Linked DNA regions of Nothobranchius furzeri. The protein of the gene in region 2 interacts with the protein of the main gene of each other region in a biochemical or structural test. Links are inferred from orthologs where the notes say so. Each region holds a gene or a part of one and is shown on either strand. Other genes may lie near its edges.

Region 1 (7,618 bases), on a different chromosome or scaffold from region 2:
AAGCTAACCCAAAGCTAATGCGGAGCTGGGAGCTAAGCTAACGGAGGTAGCAACCTAGCTACAACCGGAGTTAACTGTGCACAACACCAGAGCTTCTGAGTCAGATATACGCCGGGCTGACCGCTGGGTAAAACCGGGTGGAACACAGAGGTCCCCGAGACCTCCACAAGCCGGCAGCCGCACAGCAGACAAGCGCCGCTGCGATCTGAGATGCGCAGAGCTGCCACTGAGGAGAGCCGGGTGGAAAGGTTTCCATCCCAGAGCTCCACAAGCCGTCAGCCCGTGCAGCAAACAGAAGCCGCGATCAGACAGATGCGCCGAGCTGCGGGGAGACCCAGCCTGCAGCCCGCGCAGCACACAGAAGCCGCGATCAAACAGAGATGTGCCGAGCTGCGGGGAGGGGAGAACCGGGTGGAAAACAGAGGTCTCCCGAGAGCTCCACAAGCCGATAGTCGGAACCCAGCTCCACCAACATGTTATATTTCAACCCATTTTCTAAAATGCAGCATTATGTTAAATGCACTGGGTTTTACCCTATTACATTTAAATTTCATGGTTAAACAGTACATGTTAAAATCTAAGCTCAGCTCGGCAGTGACCTAAAATACATAAATATAATTTTACTTACCGAAAAAAATGAAGTGGAGACTCCTTGGATGCTCTATTAGTGCAATTAATGCCACAGCAAGTCATTTTGTCCAACAATTGCATAAAAAATATCCAAACAAGAATACACAAACACAGAGACTCAAAATCCCGGAACAGTTTCCAAGCCAGCCCGAGGCTCTACTGAGGCCTTTCCACGGAGCTAGCTCTGTGGTCAGATGGGTCTGATGCTCATTAATTATACAGAATTTTAGGCTTTTAATACACTTAAACAGAAGAGTGAGAAAAAAATCCACCCCCCTCAGAGTTGTCATGAGTGTAAACTAGATCATTTAAACAAAAAACATGTTCTGTTACCAGGCTGCAAACATGTTTATTTCTGCTGTGAAATTGGTATTTTTAACATGGGAGTCAATGAGGATTTGCTCGCTTCTAACACCAGCTCCCAGCGGATGAGGGTGGAACTGCAATTTTGGTACTTCCGGGTTGGGCCCAATTTTGGAGCCGCATTGTGGGGGCTTGGCTGAAACCCATGAAATCATTACAGCAGAGATTCAAGAAGCATTCCCTGACCTATCTAAGGTTCCCACAGAGTACCATGACTCTCAAGAAGGTATTTAATAAACATAGAGCCCCCCCCCCCCCCCGACCCTATGACTAACACGGATGAAGCTGAACATTCACCTCTCCCGTCAGTAAAACAAGCAGTAAGTGTAGCAATACTGTGTTCTACAAATATGTAATATCTGCAAAAATGGTTAAAGTCATTTCACTGAATATCCTAATCATCTATAAAGCACACGACAGCTATGGATGCTAATATTCTACAAAATCATTCATAATTGAATAAGTTTGATCACACGATAGCTTACCGTTAACTTCTGCTGACAAAAATTTGAGCTCTTGTCAACAAACACTCTCCCTCTCGGTTACTATGGAAACACATTTGCCGCACACGCACCACTGGTTTTGTCCTGCTCTCGCTTCATCCCGCCCTTCTTGCTCTTCATTTTGACGCTTGTTTTGTGAAACATCGTCGTTTTAATTTAACTGATACTAACATTTATCTTTTAAGAGCCACAAGGTTTTGTAACCTGGGTTCCTTTTAAAACAATCAGGTGATGGAATCTGAAGACTAAATATATCTGACAGGATGAACAGCTAAATAAAACAGAAATCAGGATAAGATTTTATCAATTTTCCATCTAAAACACAAAACATAACACATCTTTGTCATTACTTAGAAGGCATTAAGAATGCAGCTAGAAAACAGGGTGTGTGTGAAGCTTTTTGTGGTGTGTGTGTGTGTGTGTGTGTGTGTGTGTGTGTGTGTGTGTGTGTGTGTGTGTGTGTGTGTGTGTGTGTGTGTGTGTGTGTGTGTGTGTGTGTGTGTGTGTGTGTGTGTGAGAGAGAGAGAATAGCTGAGTGTTTTCTGGGAGACGAGGACATGGGAAGGGAGGAGTGTGTGTGTGTGTGTGTGTGCGTGCGTGCGTGCGTGCGTGCGTGCGTGTGTGTGTGTGTGTGTGTTTGACGTGTGTGAAGAGCTAAAAGAGGAAGAGAAAACTAAATGAGAATAATATAAAGCAGAACCAACTCTTGTTAAACATGAAGGCTTTATGGGATTTTGTCTGATTTACAACTAGTTCAGATATTACACACTTACTAACACACAGGAGGCTGATTAGCAAACAGGAAGTGAGTGTGAATTCTGATTAGGAACATTATCTGTTATTGTGCGAAAGAATACAAAGACTGATGAAAACAAAGGTGCATTTTTGAAATATGCCACTTATCTTTGTATTGCAGAGATTCATCAAAATCCCTCATTTTTCCTCATCACCCTATGGCTGATAAAGCAATGTTTTCCAGCTGCATGGGACTGTGAAGATCGGCTATTTTTGTTTAAACTCTGGTCTTCGTAACAAAATGTAAAACTAAACTAGCTAAACTAAAACTAAATCCCTGAACCACGCATCTGTTATCACACTTGCACCCAGCTTTCAACACATATGTGAAATCTGAGACGTGCAAATGAATTAGTAAGAATTATCATGATATATTAAAATCCTGCTTCTTTTAGGATAAGAAATCACCTTGATAAAAAAATAATAATGATAACTAACATTTTACTTTTATAGAAACATTTGTAAAAGTTTCCCACACTTTTGTAGTATTCTAAAACAAAATCTTGTTCTGTTTTTCCATTCAGAAATTTAAGGTTCAGAATTATTTTGCTCTGCTGAATGTCAACACTAGCAGCACCTTTTCTCTTCATCACACAGTCTTGCTCTTACTTGTTTCCAAGTTTGCATAAAACCCTGGATTGGCTCATGCTGTGAGGTAAACACAGAATTTTCCAAACATGCATGTTTAAAGTCTAGAGTGGACTAAAGATTTCTCTCTTTAGTAAAGTGCCTTCCACTTACTCAAATTACATCCGGGACAAATTCTTGTTGTGTTGTTTACAACACAACAAGATGGGCTAAAATGGAATTTAAAAGAAAAGCCACGCCAATCATTCCCAGAATCATAAATGTGAATTTGCATCATACACACACTTCACGGGATCTGTTGGAAAAAGTGCAAAAAGCAGAAAGCAAAAGTGTTTAGAAAGTTAAAGCATTTTTTTTGTGACTTTCAAGATTTTATCAAAAGGAAAAGCTGATTACAGAAGCTGTTCTCCAATAGAAGTCAATTTCAATAAAAATATACATATTTCTGAAAAATGAGAAGAACTCTTCTCTCTTTGCTGCATGAAAATAAAGCAGACCGGCTCTAAGAACAATTTCCCACTAACTAAATCTCTGACTATGCTGACATCCTGCAGCCTGCATGACACCTGGGTGGGGCAACAAGTGAAAGAGCAGCTCTGACAGCACAAGACTGACCTTTAACTCTTCAAAGACAAGTGAGGTTGTTGTTTCTATTAAAAAAATGCAGGTGCGCACAGAAAACAATATTTAAAGAGCAAGTCACCCCCAAATCAACATTTTTTTCTGATAAACTATATCAATGTGTGTCTAATCGTGCTGCAGACACGTGTAGTCAATAGTTTTGCACTTTAGTGCAGTTTTGTTCAAATTCATATTTTTGGCCTAAAACTGTCAGTGTTGTGCCGTTGTCAGGTAAAAACTCTGCACTGCAGTTGAATTTAAATCTGCCATCGCTATTGGCTAAGAGGTACCCTAGAATGTTAGCTGGTACCATATGATGTCACTGTGTCTTTGTGAGCCTGTGTGTGTGTTAGAGCTGAGGAAAATAATCAAACAATTGATGCATTGGGATGCGGACATCAACGATTCTGCATCGTAGAAGAGTAGGCCATAATCGATTATAGTGGAATGTAGTTTTGTTTTTTTAATGGCAGCACCAGCGCAGCATCCAAATCTGTCAGAGTGAGTGTCCTCCACATTTACCAAGTAGTTCTGCCTTAATGTGGTACTGCAGAGCTGAGCGCTAGAGTTGTAACCCGAGACCGAACCAGAACCGAATCAGCCCGACCGGTTCTGTTGGAAAAAATAAAAAAGCAATTGTCTGACATATTCTATTTATCGATGAAAACAAATCAATATGAAATAATCGTGATGCATCTGGATATCGAATCGAATTGAATGGTTGACCCAATAATCGTAATCGAATCGGGAGACAAGTGAAGATTCGCACCTCTAGTGTGAGTATTTGTTAGTGGCTTCGCTCTCGGTCTGCTAGGCAACAGCATTTGTTGCATTTTCCAAACAGGAAGTGGGAGCAAAGTAATTCTCTGGTAGGGGGTGACTTGCTCTTTAACAATCAGTTGTGCTACAAATGAAAGGAAGTCTTCACCTTGAGCAGAATAAAGTCACCAAGCATAAAAGGTAATAACAGGAAATGTAAATATACCATGAGTCATCTCATGGTACCACAAGGGTTGTTTTTTGAGTCTAATATACCTCTCACCATTCTGTTATAACTCTGTCTTTGGAAGATTAAACGTTTTACAAAGCACTTTATAATACATATCGTGAGGAAAAGCTTTGAACGTGAGAGAAGTGATTGAATATTTTTTATATACATAATTATAAAGTGCACAAGCTCTGTCACAAGTGTGTAAAACTCACACACAGATCTACAAAACGTTATTTACACAGCTGCTAAACTAATGATGTTATCCATCAAATGCAAGCTAAACATGGGAAGAGCGAATTTCTCGTCTCCACCCAGTTTCCTACGAGGCAAAAACGAGGAGAAAATGTCCACTTATACAATAATTATACTCACAGGAGTTCAGCTGCAGCTTCAGCTCGGGACAATCATTTATTCCGCACGCGGGACGGGGGAACTAATTACTTATCCGGGAGGAAATTTATCGTATTCCAGGTTAACGCCACCAGAATAGTTCATCGGTACTGTCGCCCGTGGGTGATGCATTCTTTAGTCCCTCCCATTGGCTAAAATGTAGCACAGTCGACAAAAAAAAAAAAAAAAAAAAAAAAAAAACTTCACATGGGAAGTTGGAGCGCCTGTCAGGTCTGACATGAACACAGGACGTGGCCCAGAACCGCAGACAGCGAGAGCAGACGTGTAGGAATGCAGTAGCACATAAAACAATTCATCGGCGCCGCTATCGCTCCAACTATAGAGTTTTTAGTTGCAACTATTAAAGTATTACGGCACTTCCTGTTAATACTTTCAAAATATAAGTCGAAATGGATTTTCAGGTGCGGTTTAAAACGTGTTATGGTATTACGGTTCCTGTGTTATTTTCTCAAAATAAAACTCATGAGCAGCATCACACGTTTTTGTAAAAAAAAATTAGGAGTGAACGTAATGATCCGGGTGCCAAGGGGGCAGAACAAGCATAATATTACATGTAATTTCCACTAAATATCACAATTAATATAATTTAAAAAGTCAGTGACTTCATGCAGTTTGCTGGGTTCCTTATATAGGAAACTTTTTATTGATTGGCTTAATGAACTGACTGACCTGTATTGGAATGTTTACTATGTGAAGTGCCTTGAGATGACTCTTGCTGTGATTTGGTGCTATATAAATAAACTTGAATTGAATTGAATTGAATTAAAAAGAGGGATATTTAAACTTTTAAATGGAAAAATGAGAAGGAGGACAAAAATGCATAGGATAAAAATAAAAGGTCATCCCAGGAAAGGCAAAATTGATAGAGATTGCATAAAAATAAGGTAGTGAGGAAGAATTAGCAGGGGTAACACAAAGGTTTCCAAGTTTTGGTCCTCTACCACCTTCCTCATCCATGGAGTCCCACAAGGATCTGTGCTGGAGCCTCTAATCTTCCCCCTCTATCTGCTTCCTCTTCAGCACATCCTGAGCTCCTTCAAAGGAATCTCCTACCATCTTTACGCAGATGACAGCCAACTGTACATCTCCTTTAAGCCCCATGAGATGTCTAAGCTGCAGCTGTAACACTCCTGCTTATACTCTATTAAAACCTGGATGGCTGGGAGCTTTCTTCAGCTGAATGAAGGTAAGACTGAGATCCTCATCTGTGCCCCAGACAAGCTGGTTCCCAAAATCAGAGACTCTCTTGGTCAGCTTGCTTCTCACAACATACCTTCTGTCAGGAATCTTGGCATGACCTTTGACCCAGCTCTCACCCTGGATTCTCATGTCAGTTCTCTTGTTCGCTCTTCCTTCTTCCATCTCAGGAACATTGCTAAGCTGAGTCCCATTCTGTCCCGCTCTGAACTTGAGATTGTGATCCACACCTTCATCTCCTCATGCTCATGACTACTGCAACTCTCTTTTCATGTGTCTGAGCACAAACAGACCTTCATTCAGATGTAACGATTTGCTTTTAATTACATTTTTATTTTTTTACAGGATTGGACTGGAATGTATAAACTATTCAAATAATTAAAATTAAAACCAAATACAACAACTGTAACCAGAAACAGAATATAAATGCAGTTTTTACTCTTTGTTCTTTGTGGAAATGAACTTTGTTTGTTTACTTGTAATCTGTCATTTGATTTAAAATAATTTAATTTTTTAAAGACATTTTGTAATACCACTAAAGTAACACAAGATGGCGACAAATGCACAGAACACGTGTTTTTTCCCCCCATCTAGACGGTTCAACTTAGCATTGCCATTTAACAAACAGCATTTCTAGACACCAAACATCGAGATTTTCAGATTCTTCTTCGTCGTCGTCTTCCTCCACTTATCCGGGTCCGGGTCGCGTGGGCAGCATCCCAACTAGGGAGCTCCAGACCGTCCTCTCCCAGGCTTTCTCCACCAGCTCCTCCAGCAGGACCCCAAGGCGTTCCCGGACCAGATTGGAGATGTAACCTCTCCAACGTGTCCTAGGTTGACCCGGGGGCCTCCTGCCGGCAGGACATGCCCGAAACACCTCCCCGGGGAGGCGTCCAGGAGGCATCCTGACCAGATGCCCAAACCACCTCAACTGGCTCCTTTCAATCCGGATGAGCAGCGGTTCTACTCCGAGTCTCTCCCGAATGTCCGAGCTCCTCACCTGATCTCTAAGGCTGAGCCCAGCCACCCTACGGAGGAAACTCATTTTGGCCGCTTGTATCCACAATCTTATTCTTTTGGTCATTACCCAAAGCTCATGACCACAGGTGAGGATTGGGACGTAGATCGACCGGTAAATCAAGAGCCTGGCTTTCTGGCTCAGGTCCCTTTTCGCCATGACAGATCGGCTTAGCATCCGCATCACTGCAGATGCTGAACCAATCCGCTTGTCGATCTCCCGATCCCTCCTACCCTCACTCGTGATCAAGACCACGAGATACTTACACTCCTCCACTTGAGGTAGGACCTCTCCCCCGACCCGGAGTTGGCAAGCCACCCTTTTCCGGTCGAGAACCATGGTCTCAGATGTAGAGGTGCTGATCCTCATCCCAGCCGCTTGTCACTCAGCCGCGAACCTACCCAGCAAGAGCTGAAGGTCAGAACTGGATGAAGCTAGGAGGACCACATCATCCACAAAAAGCAAAGACGAGATTCTCCTGCCACCAAACTTGACACACTC
Region 2 (7,350 bases):
TTTTTCCAAAATAAATATTTATTGCACTTATTACCTGCACATCAACTTCATAACAGCTGTCACTGAACATGAAAACAAATGTCTCTCGTCTCTTACATACATAACTTTTGAATTATTTAAACATTACAAACTTTGAACAATGTTCTCTCTGCTTGTAAGGCGATGAGAGGTAGGTGGTTTGTTTCGTAAAATGTAAACCACATTTATTAACAAAATATAACATTTAACATGACAACATAATTGTTGACCATTGCAGGACCACAACAGAACATAATCCTTTTCTTATCCAGCCAGCTGCTTAAAATCGTTATCATTTGGAAATGAAATTGCATACAAGTATGAACTGAGATCACACTTTTGTACGATATTGTGCAGTCCTATTTGACATAACAGATTTATTACTTTGGTAAATAAAATAACTTTTATATATTTTACCTTTAAGGTAAAGCAAACCCTCAGAGCGGTCAATTGCTCCCCGACTGCTGATGTGTAGACCAGTCATTCAACAGAGACATACCTAGGTGTGTCCTGCCATTTCCCGAGTGAAGATTAGAACACGCCAGTGAAGATGGAGTGAAAACGAGGATTGTTTATCCACACTAAGCTTAGCTGGCTAAATATTTTCTGTGCACTCCTGCCACTTCCACCTCATTGGAACGCATCTTCTCTGCAGCTGGAAACATCTGCTCTCAGACGAGCAAGCCTTTCTTCAGAACATGTCTAAATGCTAACTTTCCTGACTGAACAAGAGCCTTGAGTAGAAAAATAAAGACTATTTTAGCTGGATACATTTGTGAGCACAAGTCATTATGGTGTACAATTTATTTTTGGTTTTTAGGTACCTCCATCTGACTAGCATTTGTATTAACAGGTTACAAAGTTAATTAAAAGCTGTTTGATAAGCTGTCATCTTGTCTTTATTATTAGATGGCACATAACAGATCACACTTCACACGAGAAGCTAATGCCACCATTACATTGTTACTAGTAGAAATGTAATATTATATCCAATAACTTATTACTGAACATGTTACTGAAATAATTCACTTCTGCTCATCAGATGTGAATAAATTTAGATAGGTTTAGACTAGGACGAGTGATAATAAACCTCAAGTTTTAATGAAATATATAATCAGCTGGGAACAAGGGAACTAAACAAACCAATTTCGTATTGCTGATCCTTTACATTTTGTTGTTTTATTTGGATCATTTTAGCAGCAGCCTACAATCTAATTTCACTTGAAACATCAACTAAAATATTTAATGAATTGATGGACGATTCAATAGAATATTCAAATACTAAATATTCAATAGCTGCAGCCCCATAATTAACTCCGTCCTCAACTGGATGTGATTTTAAAGAGCAAGTCACCCCCAAATCCACTTCTTTTTTGCCGATAAACTATATAAATGAGTGTCTAACCATGCTGTAGACGCATGCAGTCAATAATTTGGCACTTTAGTGCATCTTAGTTCAAATTTAAATATTCTGCCTAAACTGTCATTGTTGCACAGTTGTCAGGTAAAAACTCTGCACTGCATTTAAATTTTATCTGCCATTGCTATAGTCTAAGAAGTATACTATGATGTCAGCTGGTACATTATGAGGTCACAGTGTCGTGTGTGTGTGTGTGTATTTGTTAGCGGCTTCGCCCTTTCAGTCTGCCAGGCAACAGCATTTTTCAAACAGGAAGTGGGAGTGGAGTAAGACTCTGGCAGGGGTGACTTGCTCTTTAAAAACCAAACATCTCAGGATTTTAAATGTAAACAAACCTAATCACAGACAATCTGATCTGGTGGGAGTGAACCTAAACACAGACTCTATGTAGTCCCAGTATCAGATTATCCCAGCACAGACGTGTGTTACATCACATCACGTACTAGAAAGTCTATTAAGACAAAACACATACAGCTAAACTGTTTTTATGTTGGGAGGAAAAATGAATAAAAACAGTTCTGATTATTGTAAGAAGTGTTACACAGATGCTGACGTTTCTGTCAAGCTTAGACAACATCACTTCCTGTCCTAGTTACTATGTTTGGGAAATGTTACATGGCCTGTACACTTCCTCAAAATGAGTTCAAATATTTCAACCCTCCAGTGGAAGTCTTATTGGAAGCTTGGCCTGTACAGTAGCTGGAGCTCATTAATGCAGCTTAAGTACCAGCGGCTGGCTGGCTGTGTTGACCTTCAGCTGAGAGCAAAAACAGATAAAAACACAAAGATGCATGACTCAGTCTTTTCATGGCAGCCACGTCCACAGCCTGCCTCCGATTTATTATCTTAACAAGACTGCAGCAAGCAGCAACTTTTCAACAGGTGAAATCAGAATTAGGACCAAATCTTCTGTCTACATATAAAATTATTACCGGAGCTGTAATTCAACGTTGCGATCTGTTTGAAACTCATTCTCTTAAGTGACACTTTTGACATCATCAACATATTCAACGTTACACTCAAGACAAAGAGCTCACTCACACACAGCTGACAAAATTGGAAGGAAAAACTAAGCATTTCTGCTCTACAGTGCTGTTTTCTGATCAGTGCCATCACTGGACAGGAGACCCACTTCACGCCAAGAACAGAATGAAGCTCCATGAGTCACTGGTTTGAAACTCATACACACACCAATGAAGCAACCTATGGGCAGTAATGCTCAGCAACATACAGCCAGCTGAAATATAGTACACCCTCTCACCTTGAGTGTTCTGGAAGTAGTGGCGCCACAGCGGCCTGATTTTATCCTGACCGCCCACATCCCAAACTGTGAAGCTGATGTTCTTGTATTCTACCGTTTCAACGTTAAAGCCTGCACACCAGAGAAGGAAAGATGGTGAGGCATCAACAATTTTAAAAAGTGTTCACAATTTACCAACAGTGTGTGTACAGACAAGACAGGGTTGAGGAGCTAACATTCGTCTCTGAAGGTTGAACATTAGAAAAATGACCCAAAATCTGTGCAGGTATTTTAAGACAGTTATTCTTCTGAAAAACTCTAACTCATCAGTTGGTCCACAATTATCTAAAATTATATTTGGTACAAAAATAATCCTTATAACATAAAAGCCTGAAGATAAGCAGCCTTCCAACAAGAAGAATAACCAACACTACTGACAAGAGGTTGACCAATAATGGTTTTTCTATTGCTGATACCAATGCCAGTATGTAGGAGACATGATCTGCCGACAGCTGACACGTACTGCTGATTTTTATTGGCATTTTCATGGCCTATATCCAGACATTTTCCATCTAATTTTACTGAATTTAACTAGCTGTTAAATATCAACTTTGTGCATGGTTCAGTGTTAAAGTCAGACAACTAAATAAAGTTAATTTAGAGTACATATTATGCTGATGTTATCAGCAAATGTAAAAATACATTTAAATTAAATTCTGCAACAGCACCGAGCTACCAGAGGTTGTCCATGTTGTAGTTCTTTTTAAACACAGAGTAGTTTTGTTTACCTGTTTTCCCGCTACGTTTCGTTTGCGGCTGCAAACTTCGACGCAGTTTGCAGCTGCAAACGAAACGTAGCGGGAAAACAGGAACACAAAACTACTCTGCGTTTTAAAAAGAACTACAACATGGAATTAGAAATACTACACAGCAAGAACAAAGATGTTACCAGAGGATGTGCTTGACTATAAATTGGCCTTACAAATATAAATCTATTGATGTATAAAAATGGTAAATAACAGCCCAACATAATGCTCTACCCCTACTACTGACATGAATAAATAAATCCGTACCAATGGTTGGAATGGTGGTGACTATTTCTCCAAGCTTCAGTTTATACAAGATTGTTGTTTTCCCAGCAGCATCGAGCCCAACCATCAGAATTCTCATCTCTTTTTTGCCAAACAGGCCCTTGAATAAGCTTGCAAATACATTCCCCATGGTGACAAAGCTGTAAGAAACGGAAACTGTTAAACAGGGTGACACATAGGTAGAAAAGGATGAAATGTAGTAAACTTATCTTAAATAAAATCTAATTATCCAATCCAACATTCTAAACAACACTTTAAATGTAAGGCTGTTAGTTTTTTGCAGCACCAGAAGAGGGAGCATCATTAGGAACATAAGTTTTAAGTCAAACAGAAAGACTCCAGAAGGCATTTCACAAAAGGCAATACAGCCAATATGGAAATGACAGGTACATACAGAAATGTGTTCTATAGAAGTTGGGAGACAAAGGTTAATGGTGAAACTAGGAACCGTTTTCAACTGAGTCAGGGTAAAAAGAAAAGTTGAGTTCGCGTTAAATATATTCGAGTTTTAGCTTTTGGGTAAACACTAAAATATTCAATCCATGTGTTCCTCAATTAACTTTTAAGAAAACAAAACTCTGAAAAATTAATCTTAATTCATCAGACTTGATCACCTGATCCAACCATCTCGTTCACCCGGATTAGCCTAACAGCTAACTAACCCTTGATTAGGCCTGCTCCAGATGGGAAACTCCGGTTGGGCAAAGTGTTATTGTGCGTGAAAGTAAACAGCAGCTCGACATCCAATCCAACTTAATCTAACAGAGGTTTGATGAGTGTTTAAGAGAAAAATAATAACAGAAAAATCCTGTATTACAAATTATAACGCAACGGGTAGCTTTGGATGTTAGCTTCAGCTAAGCGCTATTAGCTTCACTAAGGGCGGATGCTTCAGCTAGCCGATTGTGGACAACTATTCATCCAACAAATGTTTTAAACAACACATAGCGACACATTATGAAGAAATGTAACGCTGACATAATTGACAAGTACCAGTGGAACTGATGTTCAGCTCGTTGAAAAAAATCGCCGTAACAGATCTTAGATCACCAGTTACAGGAACTGATGTAGCGCGCTAGCTACCATTAGCTAATTGCCGCGTCACTGCTAAGCGAACACCATCACGTAATGTTAAACGCCACTCAAACCGAGTCATTTGAATATAGTAACAACCACCACGCGTTAGGCTATTTAAGGGTACAGAGATGAGCGTGTTTCTGAAGTTTGTTACCTCTAACGACACAGCTTCTCGATCTTTCCGTTACCTTTTACTGTCACTCCAAAATGGCGTCTTGCGCAACCAGGGAGACACCGGCGTTACGAGTGCTTCCCACTATCAAGTTATGGCCAATCATAGCGCCTATGGTGTAAGTGAGAGCCCGCCCCCGTCTATCGGCGAAGCAATCACAGCGGCGGAGGATCGACGTGTGAAAAGTGCACAAAATGTCGAGGAAGTGATGCGAGGCGGACAAGTTGGTCAAGTTTCTAATCAGGTTGTATGGCAGGCCTCAAGTTTCTAATCAGGTTTATGGCAGGCCAATGTAACATATAGTCAAAATATACCTGTTATACCGGTTTTTATAAATGCTAAACTTTCATCAATAATTTCACACGGTTAAGTCCAATAATCCTTTACACAGTAATAAACATATATCTAATTAAATATGTCAAAAACAAAATCAAGTAAAAAACAATGTCTCCACAACAGATACTATAAAACACCTCAAACTGACATTAGAAGACCCTAGTAAGTAGACCCTAGTAAGTAGACCCTAGTAAGTTTCTTGTAATGGAAATTCTTTGAGAAATACCGGTATGTACAATGTTTATTTCATATATGTCAAAAAATAGTCCAAATCATGTAAGTGGAAGAATGAATGATTCTTTGTTGTTCTGTTTGAGAGCCAGCAAACAACAAGCTGACATTTTCAACACAGAAAGGGTAGGTACTCTGAGCTGCTTTTGGGCACATAAGGAAACTTTCATTCTCTTGGGTAAACCTCAACATACAGGTTGACAGTCTGAGGTTCACCAGCCGCATCGGGTCTTCGCCTTTCTCCAGTGATGAAGAGAGCTCAACGCCAGGAGCTAAGGCTATTGTGTAGAAACGTGTCCATCTATATCCAGCCAGTACTGCTCAATCTCTTCCACAAGTCCCAGCTCCTTCCTTGTCATTCCATGTTCCAAACATTCAGGATCCAACTGCTAGCGCTACCACCTCGGTCTGGCCAACACAGACCCATCATGCTCCTCTTGCAGGTGGTGGGTCCACAAGTAGACAAGTCCATGACACCAGAATGCTAAGCCCAGCCATCAGGCATTCGCACGGGCCCAACACCTGGCTTGGTTTCAGGGTGGCCACAGTAATTTTCCAGGCCAAATACTGTTGAAGGATTTTCTGAGCGAGATTTGCTCTTGCCATGGGAGTCGGGAAATGAAAATCTCAGTCAAAAGGTCAGGTTCCTTCCGTTTCTCATATCTTTAAAGTGGCATGGGCAAATCTGCTAAATTATTCTCACCTCTCCTGTTGGCTTTCATCCCTAGGTCATGTTCCCTTGCTGAACACCAGTCATAGTTTCTAGGTCTAAACAGCTTTTGCTTTCCACAACTTAAAATGGCATTTTGCTTTTTATTGGGGGGGGGGGGGGGGGGGGGGGGAATGGCAGCTTCAAACTAGCTAGGGGTCTTCCTCCAGCAGCGGTAGCCACAGTTCAGAGTTCGAGAGCTTACTCTAATACGGGCTTTTATGCTTATAAATGGAGGGATTTTGAGCAATGGAGTCTGGTCAGAACCATGGTTCCTTCGTAGAGCTCTGTTGTGGATGTGCTAACGTTTCTGCAGGAGTTGCTGAACAAGGGTTTGTCCTTCTCTACTTTAAAGGTTCATCTGGGGGTGGGGGGAGCCAGGGGCTGACTGGGACGAAAATTCAACCCTGGAATATCTCCAGAACTCACAGATGGCCAGTCCACCCTGGGTAGGCCCACAACCTGGCGTAATTTGCCTTCTTCAGCCAGGCCACATGTGGCGTGACGTCCCATATACCACTCGTTCCTCTTCTTCAGGGAACAGTGGTTGCATAACTTGGAGTTCATACATGGTTAACTTCACATTACTCTAACAGACAGACCTTTAATTACAAAGTCACTCACTTCTGTACTAGTGCTTAAACATTCACAATAGGATGTTCTGACAAATAGAAAGCCTGAGACAAAAATAAGGATCTATAAAACACAAAGGCCTTTAGATAATGATTTTCTTATTGAGTAATAAATAGGGCTGCGCAGTGGAGCAGTGGTTAGAGCTGTTGCCTTGCAGCAAGAAGGTCCAGGGTTCGCTTCCCAGCCTGGGGTCTTTCTGCATGGAGTTTGCCAGGTACTCCGGCTTCCTCCCACAGTCCAAAAACATGACTGTTAGGTTGATTGGTCTGTCTAAACTGTCCCTAGGTGTGTGTGTCTCTGTGTTGCCCTGCGATGGACTGGCTCTCTGTCCAGGGTGTACCCCGCCTGATTGGCCATTGACCGCTGGAGGTAGGCACCAGTGCCCCCCCCCCCCCCCCCCCCCCCCCCCCCCCGTGACCCTGC
Region 3 (7,593 bases), on a different chromosome or scaffold from region 2:
GATTCAACGCACTTGACTCACCTGTGCAGCAGCTCATCAGGCTCTGCAGAAGCCTGTTAATCACCTGCTGATTAAAATCAGGTGTGGTGAAACAGAGTTAGAACTAAAACACGCTGGATATCAGACCTCAAGGCCCGGAATTGGATATCCCTGGTCTAGCCACACCTCACTGTAGCCTCAGCAGGTCGGTCTACCATTGGCCCAAACTGTTTTGTGTCTAGCCAATCACAGCACTCCAGGTTGGTAGAGACGTTGGGTGGACCTAGCACCAGAACAGCGACAGCTCAGCAATGCTCTAATCCCGCAGGGTAACTGCAGGTTTAAGGGAGCCAAATTTAAGACTTTTTAAGACCTTTTTTAAGGCCATTTTGACCAATTTTAAGCAATTTTTTAAAATTAAATTTAAGCTATAATTTCCAGCTATTGCCTGGAACCAGTGCTAACCACGTCGCCAACGTGGGATTAGCCATCCAGTTACCATTAAACTTTCACTTCCCCATGGTGCAAGCTCCCACTAGCTTAACCAGCTAATGTGCTCATGTAAAAATAGCCCCCTTTCACAACCAACTGAATGTGTACGGTTCCGCTTACGCCAACATTATACACAAAAATTGCTGAACACTAACTAGAAATTTATAAAAATTTTATGGAAAGAAAATAATCTTGTTTATTGGGTCTTTGGACATTTAAGACCGTTGGAAACTGTATTTAAGGATTGTTTGTCATTTTTAAGGATTTTTAAGGCCTTAAATTTGGAAAAGCAAATTTAAGACTTTTTAAGACTTTTTAAGGACCCGCGGATACCCTGTGGATGATTTAGACTTGGGCTTTTCTTGGGAATCATGAGCAGACAGAGGTGTGTGTCAGACTGCCCCGTTGACTGATGTACATAGCAAATAACACGTCACATTATTTGTTGCTGATTGGTCCTGGCGCTATCCGATTACGTGCGCAGACTGTTAGAAAGACAACCTTCGATTCTGCCCCACGACCGGGTTGTTTCAATGGGTCGGACTACATATTTACATATATAGGATGGCTTGCCAGGCTAATCTGAAACAACTACTCAGTTTAAATTCTAAACATAATAAAATACTTCTTATGGTTGTTGCATTAAATACTTACTGTGGTGTATTCAAAGTAATAAAGGCAATTATCGGTAAGAATGAACCATCGACGTTTCCAGGTTTTCACTCGTCCTCCTGGGAAAAAGTCACAACAGGACAATAAGAGATGGAAGTTAAAAGAAAAAAAAAAGGATTTGAACTTTTACTCTACCAAGCTACGAATTCTGTATTCTAACTACGACCTACTAATACTTCTACAACTTTTTGGACGCTCTTCAGTACATACCTCCTGAGAAAACAAGCAGCGGCAGTAGAGGGTGGAAATTTCAGGGAAGAAGCAGAGACAAAAAGAAACCGGAGGATTTAGAAGGGAGGTAGAAGAGGGGACGGAGATCGTATTAGTGACACGTTGATCACAGGTCGCCGTCATGCAAAAAGAAAACAAACAGATGTCCAAACTGCCACGGCACACAGGAGTGAGCGCGTCTTTCACCAACACACCATGGAGATGTTTAAACACTGCCACGGTGTGAGGCGATGATTCAGGTGGAGACAAAGAGGCGACGAGCCTCAGAGACAGGAGGACAAGGTCATCACAACACAGAGAGGTGAAAGTACAGAATGTAACACTTTGTCCTGATACCGGCATCACACACCGAGCTCCTCAGCTACAGATTACACGAGATCAGGGTCAAAATACCGAGTTTGAGAAGCCAGCCCTCCCTGTCTGGGTTGAAGAACGTGTGCGTCAGGTCGTTCCCGTCGTCCTCTGGGATCTTAAAGGGCTCGTTTTTAATGCTTTCATACAGATTCTGGAAAACCAAACAAGACAAATAAACAAATAAATAAACAAGCTCATAAATATTCTAACGGGGCATCCAGTGACTCGTACTCTGAGCAGCTCCTCGGGCAGGTCCCCCCCCTCATTGATGCCTCGGTTCATTGAGATGAAACGGTCCAGTCCAGGTTTGTCCCTCACATTTGGGTTATGGAGGCTTGTGTTCAACATTATTATAGCAAACGAAAGCACATAACACGTGTCTGCAAACAGGAGAGGAAAGAGAAGAACTAAGAGAGTCAACAGAAACACACTTTACAGCAGAGCATGGGTTATGTTTGCATATTTTCTGCTCTAAGTGGATGTTTGGAACTGGCTGAACAATTTCTCTTCCATCATCCCAGCCTGCAGTACAGATATGTGGACTTATGTTGCAACGTGTTAATCCTGCTGAGCTTATTGTGCCTGAAGCAAAGGGAAACCTGACTACATGTAAAACATTACAGAACAATTGACGGAAACAATGAAAAACAACACTAACTGCCTTTAATGAAAGGTGTGTATAAATGTTAAGAGGGAATGCTTTCTGGTCAGGGGCAGATTATGTGAGGGCCGACCTTTGGCAAAAATACCTTTAGTCACTTTGGCTTCGCTTGAACAAACACAGAACTCATAAAAAATAAATAAGAAAAGAGCACCGTAAGGCAGAAATGTGGTGTAAAAGGGCCAGCTCAAAACAAAACACATCTAAAGGTGCAAAAAATATTTTAAAATAAGATTCATGCTGGTTAAAAATGGCATTACTACTAGCCCTACGAGAAAAACGGTTTGTTTTGTGATTACCGGTGCTCTGGAAGACGCCGGGGTTGCAGTGACAATATCTCTGAGCAAAGGCCTCCATCATTCTGTCGATTTTCTGTGCTTCACCAGGCAAACGGAAGCTCCACAGGAACTGTCTGTAGAAAACAGGACAGGGTTCGGGTCAAGCCTAAGAGATCAAATTCAGCCACTAAGGCAGAGTTACATAGTCAGTTTTGACTTGTTGCATAATGTTGTTCCAACCCAATCTGAGAGAAGGGGGGGGGGGGTTCCATTGTTGGGCATGTTTGTCCACTAGAGAATCCCCGATTACATGTTAATAGCTTCATATAATGCAGAACCAACAGAAGTGGATGCAGTTCACCTGAGAGCCTGGACGAGGTTGAGATCTGTGAACTCGTGGAGGTCGACAAAAGCTTGAAGCACTTTGATGTTGAAGTCATCTCTGCAGCAAAACAGACCACAGTTACAAACGGCTGCATGAAAGAGACGACAGGAACAAAAGACACTTCAACACCTCCCACCTCTCTCCCAGGTAGTCTCCTATGGCAGTCTTGTTGAGGCCTTCTCCTTTGTACAAGAACTGAGCGATGTCTTCTGGTGTGTGTCTGAGCAGCTCATTCTCTACCAAAAACGTAATACCCTGCAGAAATAGTCCATAAATGAAAAGAGCAATCCCAGAAAAATATCAAAATCAGCAAATCTAAAGGACAGTGTTACCTTTTTAGGGTCCATGTTGAATTTCTTCCTTCCCATCGCTACGTGCCGACTTTTTTGAAGAGTTTTACTGCAGAAACAACACAAGTTAACTCAATTAAACCGCATACTTCTTTTAAGACACCAACAAGTTATTGGAAACAAAAACACAATAAATACTAATAGAAACATGAAAAACTAACACACAAGTTTAAAAATCTGTGCATATTGTGTTGATTTAGGTCAAAAGCTGCAATGCTATTTCTTTGATTTATAGTAAATAAGAATTTCTTTACCTGCCCTCTGTGCTGCTCTCTAGTCCCTCCACTTCTAAAATAGCCTCCCTCAACTCCTCCCTGAGCCTCTGGATCTCCTGCAGCAGGACGCCCTTCCTCCTACGAATGTCCTCCAGCTCAGAGCGCTCCTCTGGGCTCAGGTCTACTGGGACTGCAGGGGAAGACAAGAGAATGACAGCATTGGTGCTGCAGAACCAACAAAACGTTAGCTGTGCCCAAAGAATCTAGGTCAAAAGCAATCTCCACTAGTGGGAGAAAATGTTTGTTTTATTAAAACTAATTAAAAATACTAAAATTATGAATTGCACATGAAAAGCCTGAAAGAACTCAGCATTTCCTTGCTAGCTGCGTGGTTTTCATTTGAAGTAAAACTGGTGCAAGTTGGTAAATTTCCCAATAATTTTATATTTGAAAGCACCAACACCTTACAATGTGTATTTTGTCATTAAACAACTAGAATTATTTTTGTCCTGCTGAAGGTGGGTGTGATTTAATGACACAGCCTGATGTCCATTGAAGACATTTGGAAGTGCAATTCAATGAAATTCAACAGCACCACCACCTGCAGCTTTCAACTGGACCAACAATATTACAGCAGAAACCAACAGCAACTCTCTCAACTAAACATTGTAGTGATGCTAGAAACGGGTAGTTAATTTTCTGTTAACATTTCGCCTTTAAACTAATCAATTCAAACCACGTAGAAAATGTAAGCTCTTGGTGGATATTTTTAAAATCCCCAAACCATTGTAACCCCCCAAAACAATAAAATGCCACACCCAAAGCATACATTTTTCTACATACCTAAATGTTTATTACTTACGAGACTTTAGAGGCTTTTATGTTATAATTAATCGCTTATAAGACCTTTATATGCAGTTTGATGCGTAAATCATGTCCACCGAGGTTAGCTGTAAAGTTAGCCAAGAACAAACACCGACAGAATCAATAGTTAATTAGCAAAAACAATATGCAGTTGCGGCTTATTTCTACATACATGCTAAATACGTACACACGTTTTTATAGAGAACAAAAAAGACGACTGGTATGATCACCGGGAGAAGTTAGTCTAACGGAGCAAATATAAAGTCAACCAAAAGCGACACAGCTAGCCAGTTAGCTACGGCGGCGTTCCGAAAAGACCGACTCAGTAAGCCCACTTACTGTAGTCCAGGTCATCCATTTTTGGCGCTTTATTTTTAGGCATAAATAGTTCAGAGTCGACTGTCATTAAATGTCAGAAAATTGGGGATATATTAGGAAATATATCCACAGAACTAAAAGGAAAAAATTGACATCCCCTGGTGTTGAAATCCTGGGCCGTAGACAAAGAAGGTGGCGACACCGGAAGCGGTGTCGATCGACTTCCGGTCAGTCAACTTTCAAAATAAAACAACAAAATTCACTTTAGCATAATGCACAATATACAAAAAATACAAAGTTGAATGTTTAAGACTTAACCATTTATTACTATCCCTCATTAATTATAAATTACAATTTTGTATAAAATATACTCCAGTTTCCGTGTGGGTCCAGTGATTTTTCTGTTAACATGAGAAATCTAAAAGAAAGGAGATTAGGCAGGGGGGTTTCCTATTATTCTGGTTTAACTTCATTTTAAACTCTGATTTGGTTTCACTAAAACACTCATCACTGAAGTTTGTTCTTTGCATTTTGCTCCAGACTAGGCTAATAGCAATAGTTGAGTTGATCGCTGATATGGTGCCAGCTTGATCTCAAATTATATTTCAGATTGTATATAAAGCCCATTATTACCCAATATGACAATTTGCTTTGTATCAGTAACACCCATTTGGCCTACAAAATGAAAATTAATCTTGCAATTTGGCTAATCACCTTTTGGTATGAAGAGTCTAATTCATAGTATAGAAACTCTTTAGTACATTTGATTGTATCAGAGGAGCAACCTAATGCAAGTTCAGTCCAGACTGTTGTATCCAACTTTTTAGTTGCTTTTACAACCCAAACCAAAATCACCAATGAAGTGAAGAACTGAGGGTTTATTTTAAGTTTGTCTTAAAGGTGCATTATGTAGAAATGAAGTAAAAAGTATATCCTGTGGTAAAATGTGGTTACTGCAACCACTTTAAACAACTGGAGCTTTTTGCTGACCGTCATCAAATTATAATAGTTGGCACTGCAATATTAACTCACGGGAGACATGGCGACCCCACACTCACTGATGGTAAACAGCAGTTACGTCACTCCTTCCTTTGTTTTGAAAGGAGAAAAACTGACAATCCAACAGCCAGCTGGATGTGAAATATGTTCCAGTAAAACTTTCCTTGCAAAATGACAACACACTTTTGGTATTTTCTCACTGTATCCCTACATACTGCACTTTTAACACAATCCAAGCCAGGCATTTGATTTGTCAGTTTGGTAAAATATCCATGTCCAAACTAGGGCTGACCTGATCAGGTTCTTTTGCTCTCGAGACTGAGTCATTTAATTTTGAGCATCAACCGATACCAAGTCCTGATCCAAAACTTCTATCATACATTTAAAAAATAATGAAAACGAGCAAAGAAACAGATCCAGGATGTTCCTCTAGTAACAAACAGAGCACTTCTTGAACAATCAAGTAATAAATACCAAAATTCTTCACTTTTGGACTTCAGTTTAATGTTGTCATCAACTTTTTACCTCCCAAGACTGCATACATCCAGCTTCACTGGCTGCCAGTCAACTTCAGGGTTCATTTCAAGATCCTGGTTCTGGTCTATAGGGCCTTACATGGACAAGCACCATCTTACATTGGTGATCTTCTTAGTCCCTACACCCCCAGCAGGTCCCTCAGGTCCAGTGACCAAAGCCTACTGGTTGTGCAGCACCAGGCTAAAGGTCAAAGGTGACAGATCATTTGCTGCTGTGGCCCCCAGACTCTGGACCTCTCTCCCCCTGAGCCTGAGATCAGTGGACTCAGTGGTCTCCTTTAAAAAGCAGCTGAAGACTCACCTGTTCAAGCTGGCTTTTGTATGACCTTCTTCACCTCTCTCTCTTTATTCTGCTCTCCCCACCTATTCCACCTTCCTCAGGACCCACCGATTTCCCTCTTTCCTGTTTACTCTCTCTCTTTCTTAACTTTTTTAATCACAATTGCCTATTTTTGCTCATTTTAATATATTTTTAAACATTTTCTAAATGCTTTTTTATATTTTTACATGTTTTGTTTTTGTGAAGCGCCTCGTGATTTTGATCGAGAGGCGCTATAGAAATGATATTTTCTTCTTCTTCTACATACTTGCGCTTTTCTACTTCCATGTTCCACTTTGCCAGCGTTTAACCAACAAAGAGATGTCATGCCGCACAGGTTGCTGTTTCAGTGTGGAGTCAAGAGGTCCAAGTCTGTGTTAAATTGTTAAAAAAATAAATAAATTATATGTATCCCGAGTCTGGATCGGGAGGTACTGTCCAGTTCTGACCGATCAGGACCAATTTCCAATCACGCGATCAGATCTGGGCATCCCTAGTAAAAGCAGTTAGTACACGTTTCAGATGGAGTGAATATTTCATCTTAGATAAATAAGATTGAGGTAAGAGACCTTTAAAGTAAAATCTAAAGCAAAAATACTCTAATCTTTTTCAGAGACACGTTAGAAAGACAAATGATTTTACACAAGACAAATGTATGAAGTTACATTTATTTGCAAACAGATAACTATAATTGGTACACTGCATTTGTATACATTTCATTGATTTAGTAATAATTACCATTTGATTACAGGTAGTTTACTACAGACAAATTCATAGCATTTTCAACTGGACACCGTCATAGCAAATTGGTCTACAACACCATGGTCCCGGCTCTGGCCACTGACGACGCTGGTCTAGGAAAGTAAACGGTCATGACTAGGCTCTTCAACACCAAGAGTAAACATTTTGGCAACAACTTTTCGCCCAAAGTGTATGTATC

What was found. The genes of interacting proteins can lie anywhere in the genome.
Region 1: the proteins of arf2b (region 2) and pld2 form a complex in vitro, tested with the Homo sapiens proteins (2 studies listed by BioGRID). The link is inferred for Nothobranchius furzeri from reciprocal best matches to the Homo sapiens genes ARF1 and PLD2.
Region 3: the proteins of arf2b (region 2) and cyth2 are reported together in a solved structure, tested with the Homo sapiens proteins (3 studies listed by BioGRID and IntAct, with this or other methods). The link is inferred for Nothobranchius furzeri from reciprocal best matches to the Homo sapiens genes ARF1 and CYTH2.

Annotation. Positions count from the first base shown.
Region 1 is NC_091750.1:48,069,637-48,077,254, forward strand, and holds the start of pld2 (phospholipase D2), read right to left. Parts: upstream 5,022-7,618; 5' UTR 4,864-5,021; intron 1-4,863.
Region 2 is NC_091756.1:54,222,240-54,229,589, reverse strand, and holds the start of arf2b (ADP-ribosylation factor 2b), read right to left. Parts: upstream 5,164-7,350; 5' UTR 5,035-5,163; exon of another isoform or gene 5,001-5,034; intron 4,808-5,000; exon of another isoform or gene 4,763-4,807; intron 3,910-4,762; 5' UTR 3,900-3,909; coding exon 3,752-3,899; intron 2,811-3,751; coding exon 2,700-2,810; intron 1-2,699. UniProt on the Homo sapiens protein: Small GTPase involved in protein trafficking between different compartments. Modulates vesicle budding and uncoating within the Golgi complex. In its GTP-bound form, triggers the recruitment of coatomer proteins to the Golgi membrane.
Region 3 is NC_091745.1:76,531,591-76,539,183, reverse strand, and holds the start of cyth2 (cytohesin-2), read right to left. Parts: upstream 5,022-7,593; 5' UTR 4,888-5,021; coding exon 4,821-4,887; intron 3,808-4,820; coding exon 3,657-3,807; intron 3,452-3,656; coding exon 3,385-3,451; intron 3,308-3,384; coding exon 3,189-3,307; intron 3,110-3,188; coding exon 3,029-3,109; intron 2,802-3,028; coding exon 2,689-2,801; intron 2,109-2,688; coding exon 1,960-2,108; intron 1,880-1,959; coding exon 1,768-1,879; intron 1,203-1,767; coding exon 1,126-1,202; intron 1-1,125. UniProt on the Homo sapiens protein: Acts as a guanine-nucleotide exchange factor (GEF). Promotes guanine-nucleotide exchange on ARF1, ARF3 and ARF6. Activates ARF factors through replacement of GDP with GTP.